Drosophila melanogaster: one gene and its partner. The protein of the gene in region 1 interacts with the protein of each later gene in a pairwise test. Each region holds a gene or a part of one and is shown in the gene's direction. Other genes may lie near its edges. The genes, in order: Tmlh and CG7488.

Evidence for each region.
Region 2: the proteins of Tmlh (region 1) and CG7488 interact in a two-hybrid assay, tested with the Drosophila melanogaster proteins (2 studies listed by BioGRID).

Annotation. Positions count from the first base shown.
Region 1 is NT_033777.3:20,406,064-20,409,684, reverse strand, and holds Tmlh (trimethyllysine hydroxylase), read left to right. Parts: upstream 1-1,813; 5' UTR 1,814-1,861; coding exon 1,862-2,051; intron 2,052-2,110; coding exon 2,111-3,015; 3' UTR 3,016-3,070; downstream 3,071-3,621. Other genes in the region: eIF3g2 (eukaryotic translation initiation factor 3 subunit g2), read right to left, coding at 537-1,358.
Region 2 is NT_033777.3:12,993,563-12,997,533, forward strand, and holds CG7488 (uncharacterized protein), read left to right. Parts: upstream 1-2,057; 5' UTR 2,058-2,128; coding exon 2,129-3,062; intron 3,063-3,119; coding exon 3,120-3,307; 3' UTR 3,308-3,359; downstream 3,360-3,971. Other genes in the region: yellow-f2, read right to left, coding at 1-34, 102-757, 866-1,255, 1,372-1,543; CG17327 (uncharacterized protein), read right to left, coding at 3,360-3,779; CG44194 (uncharacterized protein), read right to left, coding at 3,763-3,960.

The DNA of each region.
Region 1 (3,621 bases):
TTCATTCGGTCCGGCCAGCGTCTTGTGGCATTTCTCAGCTCTTGCCGGGAACGCCGTGCCATCATCATCCGGCACCACGTTGGCTTCCATTTAAGTGGCTTTCACCTTTGTACGGCTGCGGAGCACGGCGAAAAAATCGCATTTAAAACGGAGCATTATCGGCTTTAGTTCGCTCAAGGCGAGCTTTCTCTTTTATGCACTTAAAAAAAGCATCCACCTTGGATGTCCAAGGGTATATCAACTCGAAAATTGAGTGGTCCCAAATGAACCAGACTGTTTTTAACAATTTTCATATCTATCTCAATTCATATCCTTTGCTCAACTGAAAGATGAAAAAATCTACTACGAAACATTAATAAATAGATTTTATATTATTATTAATATATTCTCTGTAATTATCGAATGTGTGCAAATTAAAAATAAAAGTGGTCGCATATTTTGCAGGGTGTACCAGAATTTTATTTTGATTTCACTGCCACCGCAGCTCATTTCCGTTCTCGAATAAGCAGAGAAGCGAATACACAAGGCTATAGCCATTACGGCTGAGGCTTGGACCACTCGACGCAGAGGATCAAGTGGTCGTAGCCGTGGCCATTAAGAACCTCAATGGCGGCAGCTGCATCCTGGCGGAACTTGAAGTGCACGTAGGCGAATCCCTTGCAGAGGCCGCTGTTTTTTTCGCGCGCCAAATACATCTTGGTGTGTGGTCCGATTTTCTTTACCAGCTCCTCGAGATCAGTCTCGGTCATGGATTCGGATAGGTTTGAGATGCGAACTGCCGACGAATCGTCCCGATCCCGACCCCGTCCCCAATTTTTGCTGCCAGATATGCCTCCGCCGTCCTTCATGAAGGGTGGTACATATTTTCCGGTCTTGCTGGGATCACTTATAGCGGCAGCTGCAGCGGCATTGGCCTTGGTTTCCATCACGGTTTTGCTATCCATCGAGGTGCCCTTGTAGGGACAATTGACACTCCAGTGTTCGCCATTGCAAATGCGGCACTTGGCGATGTTCTTGCCGGGATCAAGTTGGGTTTCGTGGGTCTGGTCGAAATCTTTGGAGCCGATGAATTGCATAAAGATCTCCTCGGAGGCCATTGTCGTCTGGGAATTGGGTCCGGGCTTGTCCGATCGCGAATCCCCAAACTTAACCCAGTTGCGACGACGAGCCACAGCCTTCGGAACAATCTGCTTCTCGATCTTGAAGGTTCGCACCACTTTCACCTTCTTGCCATCATCGTTGAACTTATACTCCGTCACGTACTTGAAGTCGCCCTTAATGTACTCATTAGAAGGCGGCAGTCCATCCACATAGTCCGCATCCACCTCATCGGCCCAGGAAGTAACGAAAGTCTTCATTTTTTATGATTTCCCACACAACCGGTACAAAATGAATTAAAAACTTAGAGATCTCTAGTTTTAGAGAGAGTTTTTCCATTTGAATTTTACTTGGCCTGTTGAGATGGGAAAAAATCCCTTTCAATAAAAGATATTTGAAATTAATATTTATATTTTCTTTAAAGTAATGATTTTTTAATAAAAAATACAACAACTTGAGTAGCAATTCACTAAGATAACTTTGCAACAAAAACATACCATTCAATCAATCTTGATTAAATTATAAATTTTTTTACTTTCATGAGTTGTTCTTAATAATTACATATTGTCTTTAAATTCAATAAATTTATTAATCTTATAGTTATTCCGTAAACAAATAAGTTCTTATCTCTGACTTGAGCATGAAAGTAATCGCTCTCCTACTGATAACAGTACAATTAAAACCGAGCTGAAACTTAATCAAACTTTGAGCTGTTAGTTCACTTTCACTGCTCTAGTCCGTCGGTTGTTCTATTGGCATTAACATGTTGCTTTTGAAGCACCCGAAAACCAGCCAATCAATAGAAATCAATGAGTTTTGGCTCCGTGATCATTGTCGATGTGTGGAGTGTCTAAATTTCGAAACAAATCAGAGGCGATACGATGTCTTAGATCTACCAGCTGATATAATGCCACTAGATGTCAAATACGACGGGATGAATCTACAAGTGCAGTGTAAGAAAAAATTGATGTAAAATGCACCTAGCTTCGATTTTATTGGCCTGCCATTTTAGGGAGTGATGCTCACAAGTCGAACTATGACCTGGACTTTATCTTCGACTCACAGCTGGAGAGGTTGATAGGTCGGCGATCAAAGTCCACTAATCTGACACCATGGAATCGTAGCATTATCTTGCAAAACGAACGGCACTTACGATTCCCATTGCCCCAGCTGGTTTCCAGTGATAACGAAGTCAGATCCCTGGTTGAATCTCTGGTGCGTTATGGCATTGTCTTTATCGATGATGTGGCTCCCACCGCGAATATGACAGAATTGGCTCTGCGACGAGTTTTCCCCCTTATGAAAACGTTCTTTGGCGAAATGTGGACTTTTAGCGATAACCCCGATCACGCGGACACCGCTTATACCAAACTTTACCTGGGTTCCCATACGGATAATACCTATTTCTGCGATGCAGCCGGACTACAGGCTCTACATTGCATTGAGCACTCGGGATCGGGTGGCGAAAATTTCTTTGTTGATGGTCTGCATGTGGTTCACGAACTGAAACGCCGGTATCCCGCCGCTTATGATGTACTGTGCAGTGTCCAAGTTCCTGGAGAGTACATCGAAAAAGGGGAGCACCACTACCACACTGCCCCCATTATACAGGTGGATCCACTGACTCAGGAATTTGTTCAACTCAGACTAAATGTATATGATCGCGCCGTGTTTAATACCATCCCTCAAGCCGAAATGGCCGAGTTCTATGACAGTCTTCGCCAGCTTTTGCTAATCGTCAGGGATAAGCAACAGCAGTGGGCTCTCAAGCTATGTCCCGGCAGCATTGTTCTTTTCGATAACTGGAGAGTGCTCCATGGTCGAGAGGCATACACAGGAAGTCGTACCATGTCCGGTTCCTATGTGCAGCGCACAGATTTTCTCAGCAAGGCTCGAGTGCTGGGAATTATTGACTGAAAGCTTATTGAAAAATACCTAATGTATACCGAATTAAAACCTTTTATGAACTAAGAAATTATGATTTATTTTCTATACTTTCTAGTGCTCCGCATATTCCTTCAGCAATCATTTATGTATTATATGGTCCGTACCGACTTTTATACTTTTTGCAATGGGAAAGTTTCATGCGGATAACTTTAACACTGAGAGATTATTTTGTGGATAGAAGAACATTTAACATTGATCAATAATATATATACTTTACATGTTCGTAGCTGACTCCTTCACTTCGATGCAAGATACTGGCTTAAATCAACATCCTTTCTGCATATATATAAGTTTGCTTTTGATTGCTCAAATAAGAACATATTTTAAATTCGGTTCATATATCAGGAATAGCATACATTGTTAAAGAATCGTTGCGTATAGAAAAAAACACGCAAATTGTTCAAGCATATTTTTCTTTTTTCTGAACCGAGTCCCACTCCAATTCAATTTCGATTGCAAATGCTAACGTATCATAATAAAAAGTTACGATTACAATTGCTGGCCAGCGTCTAATTTTTGTCATAGGGGAGTGGATCGCATACAGAAAACCAGCAACAAAAATCATTTGGCATTTGT
Region 2 (3,971 bases), 7.4 Mb from region 1:
TGGACATGACCCAAATGGTGCCATCCTCGTCAATCTGCAATAGTAAGATGAGATGTATAACTTTTTTTCTTCAACTTTTTTATCCAAAACCATTTGCTTACCGACAAGTCGCTGGGATAAATCATATCCTCGGCATTGGAATCCACAGAGCCATAGTTTTCCGCCGAGATGGGCTTGCTGGTCTTCCAGCAGCCCACTCCGTTGCGCTGGATCTCATCGAAGAAGATCACCCCAGTCCCAGGATCGTAAGCGTGCATCGTAGACTGGGTGGACGGACCACGGCTTCCGAGTACCCGGAAATCGTTCCCATGATCGGAACGTGCGGCGTTGGATTCCTGCTGCAGAACCCGGTTGGAGACCACAAACTCATTCGTACTGGCCATGGGATGGAAGTAGGCATCGCGGCTCCCATCCAGTTTCTGGGCCCCCAAAGTTATTGAGAAGATGCCATCGTCCCAGCGGAAGGTCTGGCCGCCAATGCTGAGATCCCCGGACAGCGGATCGAAGTTGAAGTAGTTGTGCTCGAAGGACCAGATTCTATCGTTTCGCAGGTGATAGACGTACAGGCGCCGGTACACCAGATCCGGAATATAGGCGTAGGCATCGCCACACTGACCCGCCTTCACATCCACGGTGATGCTGGCCAATCCGCGACCCGTCTCAGCTATACTCTCCGGAACATCGAAGCGCTTCAGCACCTGATCCGTGGCCAAGTCAACTACCCAAATGCTGGGACGGCGGATCTGTTGGCGGTTATCTGGATATGAGAATCATGATTGAGTTTTTTATATTCTTGGTCACCAAATTAGATTAATACGGATCGATCCTGATCTTTTATATTACATGTCAATACATGCCAACTCACTTGGATACTCCAGCATTCCCGTGTCGATAAACCAGAGACGCTGGCATGCATCCACGGAGGTTCTGTAGACGGACACCAGATTCTCCGCACTCGCGTTGAACTGATTAAGCGCAAAGTTGGGATAGGCCCGCAGCTTGGGGCTGCGATTCGATCCGTCCTCGGCCAGATCGATGTAATTCAAGGTGGATGGGATGCCCACCCGTCGACGAGGCATCGTGACAAAGAGGCGGCCGCGGAAGTGAGTGGCTCCCATGGGCACGTTATTGTACGGAATGTAGGAGGCGTTGGGGTCGTCGCTGTCGGCGCGGGAGCTGACCACTACCGGTGTATCGCGGGAGGTCATAATCTTACGCTTTCGACGAGAATACTTTCCAGGAAAGACAACCGGAGCTAGTTGAACAATAAAAAAATAGTACATAAGTAAATACCAATAAATCTATCTAACAAGGCTCGCGAGATTGCTATTGCTGAATGAGAACTAGTAATATCATATTATGAGTACTAACCTGAAAAGCTGGGCCTGTCTTTCCTTCCGCCCGAGCTTAGATGGCCATCTCCGCGATTGTAAAAGTCCATCTGCTTCCATCGGAAGACCTCTATCATGGGATCAGCATCTGCCAAGGAAAGCAGCTGTAACCCTGAGATTAAACTTAGAATCAAAAATTGGGGCGATAACATTGCTCGGTTTTCCTGGGGAACTATAATCTAAGTTCGCCTTGCCAAGTTGAGGCCTCAATAGCGACTGAAAGCCAATTTGTTCCCAATTGGAATCTATTCTCACAGCGGTTCGAACGCAAATTATTAAAATTGATAAGAAAAGCGCGACTCTCACAAGTTCTCAAACCGGTTTTGTGACTTGTTAGCCTGATAATAATCGTTAGTAAAAATCTAATTATTTACATACAAATGGAATTATAAACAGCTTTCAGCTTTTCTTTCTTTTTATGTTGTATACATATATAAATCAATCACAAAAACATGAGAAGAACATTTAGTTGTAAGAAACGTTACGCTATTCGTTTATGAAAGCATTGCTGTTCTAGCAATATATTCTCTAGCAATTAATAATAATTAACCCAAAAATATAAATTTAATGCATAATTTCTAAACTTAGAAAACTAAAGCAACAAATTTCGCGCCAAAAGACTTAACGGCGATTTATTAAATTAATCAAATCACTACCAACAATCGATAAGAGGTATCGATATACAAAGCTGTTGTGTAAATCGTAATTTATTTAGCGTAAACAGTGTAAATAGCAATATGCGCTATAATCTGTTAGCCAGTTCGTTAAAATTGCTGAATAGCACGAAAACCCACAATTTGTTCTTGGTGAACGTGCGCAGCTTGACCGGCGCCGCCCACACCAACGATGCAGTGGCTCCGACCACGCGCCCACCGCCCGCAGAATCGAGGAATCCCGGAGAGGAGCAACGATCACTGCACATCGCGGTAATTGGAGTGCCCAATGTGGGAAAGAGCACGTTCATCAACAACACGGTGAACCACCGAGTGTGTCCCACCTCGGCCAAGGTGCACACCACTCGGCAGTCGAACACGGCCATTTACACCACCGGCCAGACGCAGTTGGTCTTTTACGATACGCCGGGCCTGGTCACGCAACATGAGATTCGTCGGCACCACCTGGACCAGAACTTTAAGAGTGCCTACCGCCATGCCATACAGCATGCGGACATCATCGCCGTGGTGCACGATGCCTCAAATGCCTGGACTAGGAAGGAACTGCATCCCACTGTCTTGGATACGCTGAAGGCGTATAGCAACCTGCCCAGTTTCCTGGTGCTGAATAAGATAGACGCCCTGAAGTCGAAGCGTTTGCTGTTGGATCTGATCAAGACACTCACCAACGACACCTTGACAGTTGGCAAGCGGGAAGTCCAGGCAAAAAGTGCTCTCGCCAAGGAAATAAGAATCAACAAGCGGGAGTCTAGCTGGAGCCATTTTAGCGACGTGTTTCTTGTTTCCGCCTTGACCGGCAATGGGCTGCAGGAGATGCAGAACTACCTGGTGGGCCAGGCTAAGCCCAGGGATTGGAAATACCCAGCTGACATTCATACGGACTCCAGCCCAGAAGCATTAATTGTGGAGAGTGTGCGGGCTCGTCTGCTGGACTACTTGCCGCAGGAGATACCCTACAACCTTAAGTGCGAGATCGAGTACTACAGTGTGGAAAAAAGTGAGTACTTCTGTACACTCGTAAAGAAATCCTTTTCAATTCCGATTTTCTTTGCAGATGTTGTCTACACATCCGTGCAGGTTCAGTGCCCCACCACGCGAATCGAGCGCCTAATCTGTGGCGAGGGTAATGGCAAGCTGCGGCAGATCACGGAGCGAGTTACATCAGACCTGGTGGAGATGTTCGGCCAAGCAGTGTCCCTTACTATATCTACAGTTTCCAAGGGCAAGAAGACCGCCGCTTGAGCACTTGTTGATTACTTGTACTTTATTTGTAACGTTGCATAAACCTAAGAGTTCACAAAAGCTTCAAATGCGCCACCAATTTGTCTAGATCTTCGGCAGGGGCTGGACCCAGTCCGAGGACCGTTGCTGTCCCAGATTCCAGCTGAGTGCGCCCGGCATCCCTCACCAAGGCGGCCACCACGTTCGACTCTTGGGCCTGTCGCTCCAGGGAGTTTAGCTGCTCGAAGTTGTCCACGCGCAGCACTATCTTCGGCTGTCCCAGGCGACACCAACGCTGCAGAATGGCGTTCTGCAGCTTGGTTCCCTGCACAGAGCTCTGGTAGCACATGACCGCCGCATGGGCGCACTGGGCCGCTGTCTTTCCCTTGGACATCTTTAGGTCGGTTCGGACCACCAGCGCCAGTTTGGTGGACTTGCCGAAGGCCAAACCGTTGCTGAGGAACTTCTGCAGGATGCTACTTGACGTGGGCATACTTCTGGCTCTGCTGCTCCACGTACTTCTGCATGCACGCCCGGAACTCTTTCACCTTCTCCTGGCAAGCCCTCCAGTCGCCCGTCTCGGCGATACACTCCTGCACCTTGTAGTGAAGCTCTATGCAGCCGGTCTTCTTCAGCATTAGTTCCACGGGATCCTGGTCCGTCGATGCGGACATTTTCTTCTCCA